3 linked regions of the Schizosaccharomyces pombe genome follow. Changing the gene in region 3 together with the main gene of any one other region gives a genetic interaction. Each region holds a gene or a part of one and is shown on either strand. Other genes may lie near its edges.

Region 1 (3,613 bases), on a different chromosome or scaffold from region 3:
TTGTAACTCTTCTCTTACTACAGACTTTATCAAAGTAGTTTAGTAATTTCTTTGATGTCGTTAAGAAAGCGTAAGTGGTGACTTTTGTCTTTGCTGTGTAACGTATTTAGTTCGTGGTTTTCAAAAAGAAGAGTGTGTTGATTTTCTGCATCGTTAATACCGCACGTTGCCTTCGACTACAAACGCCAACATAGACAGGTGCAGACAGGTCTCAAACACGTCTTTAGTGGCATATCTAGAGACCCAAGTAGTCACTAAATAGCGAAGTTAAACGATACACTATATCCTTGCAAGAAGAGAAAGAGTACAAGGCATCAAGTGGAGTTTGTTTTGAATGTAATGCGATTTCGTATGTATACCCTGTTTCTTTCATTCGGGCTCTAAAATTGTATTCATACAATTAAAAATTTTTTAATGGGTGAGTTTGCATGATTGTTTGAAAACAGTAGAACAAGCAATTTTGTTCGACGTTGAAGCCATTTTTTAGAAACTAGATAACGATACAAACAATTAAGAACATAGTATTGTAGTAAGTTTACTGTGTAATGCGACTATAAATGATCTCGGTAGTAGCAAAAACAAAAACTACGTTAATGAATGATATTAGTGACAAAACTCACTTACTTCTAAATTAGCTACATCTCATTATAGTAAAATCAACAATTTTTGGTTTTGAGACAAAGGCCGATTATAGATTTGATCGAAAATACAGAGCAACCACAATGATTTGAAGTGCCATTCTCAACAGTTTTAAGAAAACAGAGCAAACTACCTTGTTCTATTAAACTTCATCATTAAAAAAAGTAATAAAAATTTATTGAAAGGATCAGTTAGTAATTCAACGTTAAGTCGAATATAGTAATCATTATAAGAGATTGTAAACCATCAGTGATATCTGTTGAAATGAGTGAAACATCAAATGAAGCTGAAATATTACCAATGGGTAATGAAGGACAAAAAATTCGTTTGTAGCCTTTATTTTCATTCCTTATCAGCAGACTTTGCCGAATTGTAAGACTCCGTTTTTTCCTGAGCGCCATTTTTCCATCGAGTATAAAGGAACTCTGCATCACCATGAGTTTTAACCTCGTTTTTAATTTCCGGTTTTAAGGCTTGACGAACAGTTTGGGAACAAATAGAAGCATATTTGCTATAACTACAAATATTCATTCATTAGTAAAACTATCAGGGTATATTTAATGTTCACATTCAAGAAATGAATCCATACCTAAAGTTTTTCTTCCAAGCAAAAGCCATTTTCTCAATGAATTGCTAAATCGTACAGAGATGGGGGAACGGTAACTTAAAATCCATGACACTCTCTTGAAACCCCGTTCGGTAAGGGTCGGACACATTTATTGAGTTCAATATGTACATTCGTTAATCTAACATTGGTAACGTGCTTTTCTTAGTAAAATATAGCGCAGTTTGATTAAAATGACTTTGGTGATGCTAACGATTCATCGCTATACAGATTGCCTTTTTATTAATCAACACTATTCAGTAAATAAATATTCAAAAGGCCGTATTAATTTGAATTGACAAATGAATATATACCTCTCATCAGTCAAAAGGCTGGTTATTTTCGCTACTAACCATAATTTATTAGAAGGACAAAGCGGTACCAAAGCCTTAATTGTTTACTAGCTGGGCAAGTGAAAGTAATTCAATACATTCGCAAGAAAACTGAACTTAAGCACTGTTACGTTTCTCACTTTGTTTAATCTTAACACTTATCGTAGTTAATTTAAAAATGTCAGTTAAAACAAGCAATGTATACTAGCACTCTCCATTGATTGTATTTAGTCAAATTAGCTTTCTTGATGAGCGTTAACATGAATGGCTTAAGCATAAATTTCGATTCTTTCTTTGTAGAATTTTGCACTATTAAATAACGTATTCGCACATGTTATTTGGTTTTAGGATATTTTAAACAAACAATGGTTCATTGCAAGAGACATCTATCAAAATGTATGGCTAGATGAAACAAAAAATTTCTTGTCAAGGAGATATATAATGCAAAAATCAATAACTCCTGATTCTACTTTTAGACGTTTCATTAAAGGTTCGTTAAAGATTTCGAAATTCGGAAAAAAATTCACAGCAACTTACATTCGCAATTGCTTGGAAGTATTGTATTAATTTATCATATGCTTACCAGCGTATTGTGCGAGTTTTTTAAAGCTAACATTGTGCGTATGACTGGTCTAACTTTTAGTGGAAACTAACATAAAGCTGTTCTTTTTTTTAATACTAATTGCGTTGGATTCCGCACCAACAAGAAATTTTTATTTCAATTGTATTAATCAATGAGTTGTAATCTTAAGAAAAAATTATCGCTACACTATTCGTTGGGTACTACTTTTGACTTCCCTAAATCATCAATTGTCAGGATGAATGAAGATACAAATCAAAATGTATAATATTCAATTATTTTTTGGTTTTCAAATACACTAAATGCATAATTTAATGATATTTATTTATTCTTTATATATAAGGAAATTGTGGACGATTGCCTAATTGTCGCTTGCTACACTTCGTTACAGCAAGTCAGGCTGCGGCTACACCATAACCTCTTAACTGGAACCAGCCACGAGGCCGAATTGAACGCTGCTTTGCATATTAATTCCAATTTATGATATATGAGTGATTCATTCTTTAAGGATATACCAGAGTAAGTTCCTTAAATATAATTGAGCTGAAGTTCTAAACAATGACGATAGGTTTTTAGAAACTCGTGTAAACGAGTCATTAGATGCGCGTTCTAAATCCATCGCACAATTTAAAGAACTCGGGCCTCCTGATCAGGTCAATACTATAAAAGTTAATGCAAAAAATCCATCAAAAGAGGTATGTCACTTTTTAAAGCAGCGAAAGCTGTAGTGTTAATGATGTTGGAGATTAGTGGGGAAAGGATCAAGACAAGTCTCTCTTTACCAAACTTTTCACTCCTATTGAAACGTTAACGTTTTACGTATTATTAACCTCGTCAAAGGTTGGAACTTATCACTTTGTATCTGGAGTTGATGCTTCTTCCTCAGCTTCACTAGCGGCATATTTAAATACGCTTTCCTATTCTCTTGATAAAAGTCAACAATGGTTTGGGAAGGGAAACGCTTGGCGTGTTAGTCACGGAGTTTACTGTTGCTACAATGTCTTCTCTCAAGTTGATGTTCGTGTGGAAGCTAAAATTCCTGGAGGTGTTGACACATATGCTATTGATGAGAATGGGCAAAAGCATATTGTCGATGCTCGTATGTGGACAGAAGCATATATGTCTGAAGTCCTTCGTTCGTTACTTTATTCTGATGATACAAATTCTCGCTTTGCAGGACATCGTCGTTTTAACCCCATTCCAAATCCTGATGCAGAATTAAGATTTTTTGAGGCTGCCGAACAGCTTTTTACGTTAGGTTATACTCTAGGGTCTTCTTCTGAAGTTCGGGTACCTACGCATGTAAATAATCATTTGGTTCGTGGAATTTTCGCTTACTTGAAGCAAACCTGCCGCTACAGTGCTGCTCTAAATCTTTTTGAAAAGCTCCGGGTGTCAATTCCAGAGGTATCGGTTTTGCTTGCTGAACTATACTTACTAATGGACCATGAAGTGCAT
Region 2 (7,307 bases), 1.9 Mb from region 3:
AGAAGCCTTCAACGTCGAATACTGTTGCCCAAGGAACCTTGTTTGAATACTTGGTACAGTATGTGCTAAAGCAACACAGTTTTCAGCTTGAAAGATGTGGTGGAAAGGGCGATGGTGGGGTGGATTTGGTGGGCCAATTTTCGATTAAAAATGTGTTGTTTGAGCCCACCAAAGTTGTCGTATCCTGCAAATCTAACAAGGGATCAATAGGGCCCAGATTTGTTAGAGAGCTTGAAGGCTCTTTGTCATCTTATCCAACAGATACTCTTGGGATTTTGGCTTGTTTGGGTTCTTTCACATCATCCTCACTGAAGACTTTGTCCATCAGCAACAGACCTCTTGCCTTATGCCGCATATATGTTGACGGATTTCATAGCTACATGTTTCAATTTGTTTGGAATCACCAAGCTTTGGCTATTTTTCCCGACCTGAGTGTGCGCCAGATTTACAAGCTTCCTTCGCCAACCGCTAATATTGTGCCTTTATCTCAGGAATTTTCCCAAGTGAATTATGTTTCCTTATTTGAACTATTACAGCCATTATCACGTACGGAAGAAAGGCCAGTACCTTTAGTGTTGGTCTACAAAAATCAAAAAATATCTCTTAACTGTTGATGACAGCTCATATATTAATTCATCTTTTTCTATTTCCATCATGCTAATGTGAGTTATTCAGTCTTTGATAAACCAATAAACTTTGTAAAGAGATATTATTCAAGGTAATAAATAGAAATAAAATTCAATGAACGAATGTCTACCAAATAAAAACGAAGTTCTATCTTGAAAATTAAAGTATGATAAGTGTTCAACAGTGTGAAAATAAAGGAAATAATGTAATATAAAAGAGAGAATAAAGAAAAAAGAGAAAAGAATTAAATAATATTGTTACAAGTTTCCATTAAGAAATAGATCGCAAAAATTTGTGCTTAATAAAATACTTCATTCTAGGAATGATCGGCCATTTCGAAATGTTTTGTACAAAAAAACCATTCTTGGCATACAAAAATAAAAGCCAAAAAAAGTATAACCCAACTACATTGTGAATGAGGTATGGTTTTTCAGCTCCATATATCAATGAATAGAAAGACAGAAGAAACAAAAAAACGTTATTTATGTAGTACTCCACGTCGTTCAAACGAGGTAGCATCTTTCCTGTTCGTAAAATTTCGGTGAGTAATATAAAAGGGATAATTGAGAAGAAATTATGATGTGTGGGGAAAGGAATAGACCAATGCATGGAAAGATTTCTAGCCCAAACAATGAGAACAGGAAAGTCCAAAGGAGCTAAGAGTAACATCAGTATTGTTATCGTGCAAGAGAAATTGTAGAAATCCCACAATTTTTTTCGGTAATGGCTTGACTTGGTGCAAAATCGGGCCAAGTGTAAAGCTTTAGCAGTAGTTACTGTCTGGGTACATAAAGCAACACCATAAACAAGTTGAAAGGGTACCACCGTCATTGCCATGAGCAACAATAACATGATGCCAATTATCCGAGCTTGCATATGCTTCTTTCCATATACGTAACAGAGAGAAGGGTTTGCATAATACATATTTCTCTGAGATAGAAAACTCGAAAGTTTTTTAAATTCTCCATGATCCAATTTTCTAGTATTTCTTGTTCTCAGACATTGAAAGGAGAACTTCACAGCTTGGCATACACCAGTAAAAGTCAAACCTTTATAACGCAAGTAGATACCATATATGAATGCTAATAAATGCATGACACAGAGTATAATAACACTGGCTGTTATAACTAAGCCAACAAACATTAAAGTTAACAGCGGGGCGAGGAACCAAAATTGAGCAGTCTGTAGTCCAAAAAGTAAATGATTTTGTTTCCAGAAAGATTTTGGAACCATCATTGCGAATATTTTCCAAGAGGCGACAGGGTCAGCACCATCGGCAACAATCAACTCTACTCTGCTAATTAAATATGAAAATGCAATTGACAAGATCGAAACTAAAAAAAGGAGTTTGATAAGTCCTTTGCGAATCATGACTTCAAGTGCAGCCGACATACTCAAGTATGCAGAACCGTAATGAAAATACCTAAACTGATTGTAAGCTGCCAAACTAATTACAACCACAGGAAAGGAAGCAAGTAATGTTCTGTAACGCATGAGCAGACGCCCAGCGCTCCTGTAATAACTTGGCTGTATTGAAACATAAACCGACTTATAGATAGCAGGATTCAAAAAGAATTCGAGAGTTAAAGATTTTTCTGATTCCTTACCAAAAAATTCCATAAATGGGGATATCCCGTGAACAGAAAGTTCTGTATTTGACATATTCACATGATATTTTGTTTCAAATGGAGATTCAATACTTTGCTTTAACATAGGGGTAAATTCTTTTTGAGGTACGGCACCAGGATAAAGTTCGTACGTTACTGAAATGGTGTAAGCCATAATTGAGCTCTGAATACCAGGGAACCTGAAGCGTTTCGAAATCGATCCTTTGGTGTCGAATTGAAATTTTCTTCCGCTTTTGAAGAGTTCAATTTGAGAACCTTTAATCGTTTTAGGATCCAACGAAACATTTGAAAATCCCCCAACAACAAACCCACTAGCGGGTGCTTTCGAATCATCAGACACTAAAATAAAATGATAATCATCCATTTTTTCCTTTGGCAATACGTAGTTATAAAAACTGTCACCACCATATGGACTGCTGGTGTATGCAGTTGAAGCAGGAAGCAAAGTAACCAATTCCCTAAGTAAATGGCAATTAGCGTTAATTACTTTATTGTTACCATTCTCTAATAAAGCAGATATAGTATTATCAATTTTTGGATCAAGGCGGCAAGCCAATACTTTAATATTGGATGACGAAAGATCAATAGGCTGATCAGTAAGCAATTCGAATCGGTCAATGCTTGAGGTAGGCTTCGGAATAGGAAAGATATGATGCCGAATATAAGAAACACCTAGTTGGTTCAAAAATAACAGTTGCCCTGGCATCTCGCTATAAACGTAAGTAAGATCAAGGTCCAAAGCTTTGTATTGAGCAATTGGTTTGGAAATTTGCGTAATGTCGTTTTGAAAAGAAGAACCCTGGATGTAGGCACGACTAAGCAACTCCTTCCTCAAATTAAGAGAAACGGTGCACTTTGATGTCCTTGCATCCATAATTGCAAAAATTCCCCGAATTAGTACCCGACGGAAATTCTCGCACCAAGCCATAGCTTGATGATCAATTTCTGCCCAAACGGAAGGGATACCAGAAGTAAAAACCATTAGACCGTTCGAGGGGGGCACAAAGGTAGAGATGGACGAATACTCCGGTACAACATGAGTATCTAAACCTCCCCCAGCTATGGAAACAAGCAAAACATCATCTAGTGAATTTTCTTCTGGACTCAACAGAAAGGACTGGGACCAAAAGTTTTTAATTGATTCATAAAATTCTACTAGATGCCTATCAAAAGGCAAAGGGGCCATTGCATGTGGCGTAGCTAAAGTAATTAGGGTATTAACAGAACCATCAACGTAGTTTTTCATCGTAAAAGTAGCTTGAGCAACAATCCCTCCCATAGAATGACCAAGTAATATAACGGACGTTGGGGGAGGAAAAGCTTCATTGTCATACTCCGAAGAGATTTTTCGATTTTGACGGTAAAGAGAGAGTATATATGGAATAGCATCATTGACATATTCAGCTTGGTCCAACAGCGTTTGGCCATGAAATGCTGAAAAATCCTCATTAAAATCCACCACAAAAAAATCAGGGACGAGTTTACCAGCATTTAGCGTACCATCAGCGTCTTCAGCGTAAGCATTAGCATAAACATGGGCAGCTTGAGCAGCAAAAGCTCTTACTTGTTTATAGCTACCCGCATTACCAGGAATGAAAAGGATAGGAATACCTGATGGTTCGTCACTTTCCTCTACGCTTTTTTCTCTATAAAGGTAGAGCGAATATTTATTTGCGAAACGAGTGTAACGTTCATCAAAATCAACAAAACGAACATAAGAAGGCCAAACATAGGACTTTCCGCAACCATTGTCCTGTGGACGACCTTGAAAAGAATGTAGAATAACTAATAATAAAAGAATGGCGATGATTGCAACATAAAGAGACCAGCTTCGTATAGCCTTAACTATAACATTCCCCTTTGAGATTTTAATTTCCTTTTCTATGGAAATAGAGCTAGGTGTTGAAGAACCAGAGCTAGTAACGCTAGGAATATCATTTTGCTCTAAATTAGGTTTCTCATCGTTTGAGGCTGTGTTGGCATTATTGCGTTTATAAAAGCCGCTTGAAAGCTTTGAATTGGAGATATAGTAGCCATTCACAGTATCTGACCTTCCCTTATCGTCTTTCATAGTTTTAAAAAACCGAGACGAAGAAGACGATATACGGGTTGAGCCTTGATACAAATCCAGGGCCGCTAATGAAAGTTAAAGACAAATAAAAGGGAAATAATAATTCAAAAGGCAAGTAAAACCTGTTAATATTTAAGACTCAGTTGTTTAGATGAAGTGCAAATTAGGTATCAACTGAAAAAGAAATTTCCAGTTTGCAAAAAATTAGACAGGTTACAACAACAGAAAAAAAAAACATATAATAAAAATCCTCGTAATTTAGGACATAAGTAGGAATTTCACAGTATTTCCCAAACACTGTTATATCTAAGTCCTTTAATCAATTTGTTGCCTCAAATGAAGAATCCAGCTCCAAAATCGAGGACTGTGTCAAAGAAATCAATTATTAGAAATGAAAAGTAGATCCTAAAGACTTGAAGGGAAAAAGGGACAGTAAGGAAATTCACTGTTTGTCTACTAACAATATAAACCTAAGAAATCAATGAAAGAAATTCATGCAACAGAAACAAAGGTTTTGTTAGAAAGTTTTTAAGTAGTATTATTTCAGCCACAATATGGAATTTATAAATTTTCGTTTAATTTTTTGATTATGGTTGGTTCGCACTAGACGTAAGGGCTGAGCTTGAATAGCCTCAACTTCGCCTTACTGAGCTGCCTGAATATCAACGTACAAATGTGGCAGCTTAGCAAGGATAACAGTTTACACTAACATTTTTTATTTTCTTCATAACCATTTGCTTTGTTTTATATTCGAAATAAATTATTGATAATAAGGATGTAACAAAACTTCATACATTAAAAATTGGTGTTCATTTCAACCTTAATGTTTGAAACAAACGTTAAATTGATATCGAAAAGCACGTAAGCGTTTTTGCAATGTTTAAACATATTTGATTGTAAACAGGCTTAAGAAATAGCACATTTTTTCCAATCATTCACAAGCAGTAGATCCTAATACTTAATGAATTGAACATTTTTGAATAATAATCTAGGAAAGAATCGCAAACGCAAAGCAATTATAAACTCAAACAGAACTAATTATGGGTAGAATAAACACAAAAAAAAGAGAGTAAACTGTAGCTAAAAATATAATAAATTTTGTTATCAATGGACAATTATGAGGATTTCAGGTAATGTCGGATTTGTATGGTAAAAAAATTAAATTCCTCAATTATGATTAGAGACCTTCATGTTAACCGCTAACATCAAACTAATATTAATAAAATAGAATGAAGTAGCAATAAAATGATGGAAAAATTAAATTAACAAGGAACTTAGAAAGAACAGGCGAGAAAATAACATATGATACCTTCAAAGACTTAATCCTCGGAAATAGTAGCATACTATTACACAAGACTTATATTAACACGTGCTAAAGACCGCATTGGAAGAAGCACACTGGAGTCTTTCAAAAATTACATCCTTTAACATTTTTGGAGATGAACTATCTTTGGACAACAGGGTAATATAATTTAACGGCAGAAGTGCTTCAGCATTTGACGAAAAAGACCGACCGGGTGTCGCTTGTAATAATTGGCTTCCTGGATAAGGAGGGAAAGTTTGTGAACATGAAGGGTGCAAAATACTCCCATAATCTCGTTTAATTGGTAAACCAAATTCTGCTTCTTCAGAATTCGCAGACGTTGGCTCATTTACTTCGATACGAACAACATCCTCAACAACATATAAATTAGGGAGCTCAAGTAAATCATAAATATTCATGAGGGGATTCTTTAAAACTTCAACAATATTGTAGGCTTGCCCTTTTACAAGTGAAAGTTGCCGCGAAAACATTTTCTCATCGAAATCTAAATCTTGATTGAATACGTTTCGTAAATCATCACTTAGTTTTTCCCACCATTCTCGGCTAGTCAACTTGTGTAAAAAGAGTTGCCTGGTAAACTCTGTAAAAGGTTGCGTAAATAAGGAGCGTGGTAAAGAGAGCCAACCATAAGGAAAGGACCTCCAAGAATCCGGATGTTTATAAGGGAATGCTAACGAATTATCTATCGCTCCTATTTGAAAATGTGGTCCCTTCCAAAAATCCGACGTTTGGGAAATAGCAGGGTCTACCGAGTTCGCAGACATATTAGGTGTTAAATTCGTAGATAAAAGATTAATTGATTTATAATATTCTTCATTATCACAGGGTTCGTAACAAATCTTGATCATCCAGTTATCCAAATTACGATCTGTATTACGCATTAAATAATCGAGCAAAACAAGTTTTTCAAATTCAAACCGGAATTTAAGGCGTAATTCTTCGGTCCAAAATTCGGTCTCAATTTCGTTCTCAGCTAAGAAAGGATCGAAAATGTCGAAGTCCTCGCTGGAAGCTACAGACTCCGTGTACTCTCGGGTTTCTCTATGTCGAGTACCAGGCCAGGGATGTTGAGCAAAAAACTTGGATGCAACGACGAAACCATCAAGAAACTGCTGAAAAGATCCAGTCTTTTCAGGAAGAGGCTTATTCCTTGTCAGAAAAGCTTTTCGTGCAAAATAATCATAATTGAAGGTTGGAGAAGAAATTGATGCAACAGACGTGTATGGAACTAAATACAAACCCAGACCTCTATCTAGAACACAAGCAGCGGCTTCTGAAAGATACGAAGTATTCGGAATTAGACAACTTCTCCCAAAAAAGCAAGGAAATAAATTTCGATGGAACCATTTCGTCCATTTAGGATTTAGCTTTCCATACGGTTCTTCATCTTTGGGTTTAAATACAGCTATATTTTTTTGGACTTTATTTTTCACAAAATAAGATCCAGAGGACCCCTTGGAAATAAGGACCGGGAAAACGCCGTGGGCGATTGCTTCCTTTGTAGCATCAAGGAGTCGAACGTAGTCTTTATAATCATATCCAGCGTAATGGGGGTATTCCTCCCAATGCTTTTCTGCATGCAAAACCCAAGAAGGAGCCATGAACACTGAATAGTAAACTCGGGGTTTTGAGATTGATTCAGACTTTCGTCTTCTTG
Region 3 (4,983 bases):
CATGATTTTGAGTATCCATTATGATCACGTAATGGAAGTGAAGCCTCAAGAGAGAATGTTGCAGCGCGTTGGTGAATGCCGCAAGCTGATCATGAGTTTGCTACGTTTGCTTGCCAATAAGGCAGATGTTGTTAGAGGTCTTTCCAAACGATGCAACGAGTCATGGCAAGTAGCTCCTAGAGGTGAAATTGCTTTATATCTTGGTGATGTGCAGGATCACATAGTCACTATGGTTCAAAATTTGAACCATTACGAAAAAATTTTATCTCGAAGTCATTCAAATTATTTGGCTCAGATTTCTATTAATATGACACTTGTTTCGAATGAAACAAATGAAGTCTTATCACGTTTGACTATCTTGGGTACAATTCTAATTCCGTTGAACTTGGTTACCGGTTTATGGGGTATGAATGTTAAAGTTCCAGGACAAGACGTACCAGGACTTGGTTGGTTCTTTAGTATTCTTGGTAGTCTGATGATTTTTGCGATTTCATCTTTCATTCTTTGTAAATGGTACAAAGTTATTTAGCTCTTACTGTATGCTTGTATTTTTGCCTGAGAGTTTTCCCCCCAGGGTTACCTTGTAGCTCATTTATTTCTTTTAACATGTTTTCAAACATGGCAATCCGAATTTCTGCACAACAGCCGAGGAACCAAGTCGATCTCATGGAGTAAAATTAACTGTATTTTCTCGTTTCTGTCCTTTATTGCTTGAGTCGTGACTTTATCTCAGTTTTAAAATTAATGTATTAGACCGTTTTCCATTATCAGAAGATTACTCATTGTGGAATATGCTTTTTGTTTAAACAACTCACCATTACTTGCAAAAATATTTATTAAAAAACGACTAATAGATAGATAATTATGATTATTAATCAAATATACAACGAAAAGAGTTAAAAAACGATATTAAAGATGAAGCTTGAATGGGGAGAAGGGGATTCGTCGTATCAGTAATTTTTTTTTTTTAATAAAAAATAAACACACTCGACGTCTTGGTATTTAACACTGCTTCAAACTATTTTCTCGAAATAAGTAATGCATATTGCAAAGCAATAAATAGGAGAAGAAATGTCTCATCTAAACATTTTGTAGAAATTATAATACGGTTGTAAAAACAGACATTAGTGAAAACGAATAACAAACGTACTAGAAATTTGACACGTAGCGGAAACCATGCATGCGAATATAGATAGCTCACATTTATAAGAGGTCTTAAAGCTCCTCAGAGGAGAAAGATTTTTTGGGATCCTTGGGTGCCAAAAATGAATCTGGGTAAATAACAGCAGACATATTGGTGATATCGTTTATAGAAGGACCATATTCCGAAGGGCCATACTCCGAGGGAGCGTATTCCATAGACGAAACGTGCTTTTCGGTGAAAGGCAATTTGCTTCTCTCGAGAGCAGGATATAGAGAGGGAATCAAAAGGGCCGAAGTAAAAATCATCGGGATGAAATCAAATATATCGAACCATACCTCATGAGTAATGACCGCACCTTCCCAACCTTGTGCCAACTCAATAACACGATAGACGGAACGAACTACCATTGCAAATGTTGCGAGGGCTAGACAATTACAGGACATAGTTCGAACACGAGTATATGGAACATCTGGTTCCCTTCTGCCAGTGGAAGGACGAATGGGATGATGGGTATATAACGCAATGAAAAAAATGGAAAACAGGATAGAAAAAACAACAATGGTAAAAAGTTGGAAGCAAATACCGCCCAACATGATTTGAGAGCCCTGAGTTTGTAACTGAGAACCACTGTCGGCACCACCGGCAACACCACCGCCAGCAGCCTGAAGAATAAGAGCGATGATATCAAAAGTGATAAAGATGCCTCCATATAGCTTAGGAGATAAAACGGAAAATCGAGGTCCATACAAAAGAACGATGTGATGAAACAAAACGTAAGCCTGTGCAGAATAAAAGACTGGTGCGATAATTAAAGCGATGATTTGACCCAAGAAGGCGTTGTAGTCATCTGGATTGTACGAAGCGTCTAACCTACAAGCCCATCCAGCCAATTCACCAATGGTACCGATAATAGGGACGATAACGAGCCATTTTCTCGTGAAAGCAAGACAAGCAACGTGAAGAATGAAAGCGATACTAAAGAGAATGACAGCAAGGATGGTGACCCAGTGGGCAGGGATATAGCCGAAAGCGTTATCGTAATACATGGTAACTAATATGAGAAAAGCGAAAAAAAAAGAAGTGTATAAGTGAAAAGAGAAGTAAGAATTTAAAAAGAACTTCACTCAAAGAAACAAGGGATCGATTAATTTGTACAACAAGTCAACTCAGTTCAACTGAAATAAACGGAAAAACGGAAAACACGGAGAATGCTGTTATGCGACAAGATCATTCACTAATAAATAAAACTTTCATCAATTAATACGCAATGTTAAAGTGTCCGGTAGTCTTCAGCGACATATGATGGCGGGAAATAAAAGCACAAAATAAAGACACGCGACAATAACGAATAAAAAGATGAAGTAAAACGTAAACAAGGCGGATTCGCAATAAATAGTGAATGGCGGCACAGTGGGAGAAAATGAAAAAGACACTGGGAGTAACCTTAAACAACGGCTAGCTACGGACGCAAAAATATTGTAGCCTGCTAAATTCTCGAACAAGACGACGAAAACAATTACAACAATGAATGTGCTGGAAATTGTGGAAACAAGAAAGAACTCTCTGCCAATTACGCAAATGTACTTGGAATTCTTAATAACACCGTTGACCCTGTCTAAGTAATTTCAAACAAGTAATTCTTCAGTTTATGTACCAGTGTGTGGCTTATGGAATCTTTTTTTTCTTGATATTGTTGAGTTTTACCTTCCTCGGGGTTTGCAGTTCCGAGGACTAATTGCTGTCTCACCAATACCAAGCTTTTCCTGCTTAAATTTCAATTCACGAAGATACTCTATTTTCAGTAGTTCCATTTCAATGGCAGAGGTATTTTCGTTTGGAAGAGTCATTTCAATAAAAAGCTAGTGCTGCAAGCATAAACGTAATTTGCCGGTGAGTTTCAAACGATTTAATCGTCGTTCGCGTTCCCAATTGACGCTTGGAATGAAAAATAATAAATTCATAAAAAGAAAAGTTATTTTAGGAAGTTCTTTTTTGATATAGCTTGGCTCTTCAGTTAGCAATGCAACGAAAACTGATTTTGCGAAAGTGTCACACTTTGCTTTTGACAATGTCGGTTTTGCATTTGTAATCAGAATGATGCATAGGAACGAGATTTTGAATTGTCCGACTCGCAGTACAATAATGATAGGCATTGGAAACTGCGTAAGACTTTACTCTCATATTACTCGATAAAAATTTTCCTTTAGATTTTTTCGGACACCGTGGAAGAAAAATTTCTGATATTTTTTTTTAAAGCCTCTTAAATTGACATGACTTAAAGCATTGAACTATTAGCGTTGACCTGAGCACTGATATGAAGTTGACGACGAAAAAAGCATGAAACTAAACGTTACTGTTCCATCACTAGTATGAATGCGTAGAAGGCTCACAGCATTAAGGCTTTTTTTTGAATTTTTGATTACATTTCTATGAACTATGCTAATTTTCTAACTTGGGGAATGATAGGAAACGTTTTCCTTTTAATATGAATGATGAGTGAATAAGACGACTTTTTGCACAGGTGGTGCAATAAAGAATGCCCCTAGTTTTGTGGCTTCAAAATATCGTTTGATGGGATAAATTAATTAATTAAGTAGAATGAATGGAAATAGAATGTTTAGCGGAAGTTTCTTTAATCGCCATAAAATTTACACAAATCATTCATTTGTTCCATACCAAATGTCACTATAAGTTGACCGATACAAACCATGACTAGATGAATTGGCGGAAAAGCAGGTTTCAAATAGAAGAAAGAAAAAATGTGAAATTAAATTTTCCTCTTTTGTATAACCCTCTTTATTAATGACCTGATATTTCGTTTGAAGTGGAATATGAGTTTCTTCTCCTTCTTAAATTTTCGTCATGTATTGTACGAAACATATCGTTTGGACATTTTAAATCAGTTAACCATACTGAATGAAAGAATAACCGAAGTTGTATTTAATCATTACAACATATCCATTCTTTTATTACCTTTTATTTTTATTTTGAGCTCTATTAATCCTTGCTATATTATGTACATAATCGTTAGTATGTTACAGAAAGGATGGGTGTCCGAGTGGTTATGGAGCTGGCTTTAGGTGCGTTCAACGCATTGCACGCCAGTGCGAAAGCTCGCGGGTTCGAGTCCCGTCCCATTCAATATTTATTTTTTATATTATTATTTTAAATCGGTATATGAGTTTATTTCTTCAAGCTTGATGGAGGAAAAAAAACCCTGTTAATGGCTGCTGTTTATCTTTAAAAAGTTCTTTAAACAAAGTAAGCTTAGAGTGTTATTGATACTGGCAAACGCAGTCTTCATGAAAGAAATAGAATGCTCCTTCTTTTAACGGAAACGCAAATTGATACATACTCCTTTGCAATATTTACCCTGGTTTTTACTCTTTTTTTTATGTTTTAAATTCTACAAAAAATCTGGCTTTTCCTCGTATTGCAATTCATACATATTTATGGTATTACGAATACATCGTTGCGGGATCCCAATTCTTTTAAGAGACAATGCTAATGCCAGATTCAATGGTTTTATTTATTTTCATGAATGGAAAAAATGATTTTTTCCTTTTCAAATTTTTTTGCATTACTATAAAACCAATTTTTCTTGCTTAATCATTTTCTTGAGCAACAATGACAATATTTTGTTTTTGCACTCTTCTCTGGTGAATAAAGACAATATACGTTTTTCGGAAGGAATACTTCTGGTTAAAAGCGTTTTTCTCTGTGATAAGGTTATAAATATTACTTACAATATTGCATAATATTATCTATTATCGTTCGTCAAACCAATTCCCCACACATTGTCAATTTACAATTCTTCTTTTCTTTTACTAAATACTTAT

Evidence for each region. Genes that interact genetically often act in the same process or in processes that back each other up.
Region 1: mutations in tco1 (region 3) and atp15 together harm fitness less than expected from each alone (positive genetic interaction), as found in Schizosaccharomyces pombe (one large-scale study listed by BioGRID).
Region 2: mutations in tco1 (region 3) and bst1 together harm fitness more than expected from each alone (negative genetic interaction), as found in Schizosaccharomyces pombe (one large-scale study listed by BioGRID).

Annotation. Positions count from the first base shown.
Region 1 is NC_003423.3:3,783,206-3,786,818, forward strand, and holds atp15 (F0-ATPase epsilon subunit Atp15), read right to left. Parts: upstream 1,298-3,613; 5' UTR 1,258-1,297; coding exon 1,229-1,257; intron 1,157-1,228; coding exon 982-1,156; 3' UTR 651-981; downstream 1-650. Other genes in the region: bch1 (ChAPs family protein), read left to right, coding at 2,643-2,674, 2,724-2,850, 2,996-3,613. UniProt on the Schizosaccharomyces pombe protein: Mitochondrial membrane ATP synthase (F(1)F(0) ATP synthase or Complex V) produces ATP from ADP in the presence of a proton gradient across the membrane which is generated by electron transport complexes of the respiratory chain.
Region 2 is NC_003424.3:1,682,209-1,689,515, reverse strand, and holds bst1 (GPI inositol deacylase), read right to left. Parts: upstream 4,922-7,307; 5' UTR 4,327-4,921; coding exon 898-4,326; 3' UTR 651-897; downstream 1-650. Other genes in the region: SPOM_SPAC824.03C (uncharacterized protein), read left to right, coding at 1-614; 1-phosphatidylinositol 4-kinase Lsb6, read right to left, coding at 5,689-7,307. UniProt on the Schizosaccharomyces pombe protein: Involved in inositol deacylation of GPI-anchored proteins which plays important roles in the quality control and ER-associated degradation of GPI-anchored proteins.
Region 3 is NC_003424.3:3,587,760-3,592,742, forward strand, and holds tco1 (RTA1-like protein), read right to left. Parts: upstream 2,812-4,983; 5' UTR 2,191-2,811; coding exon 1,216-2,190; 3' UTR 856-1,215; downstream 1-855. Other genes in the region: vacuolar CorA family magnesium ion transmembrane transporter Mnr2, read left to right, coding at 1-529.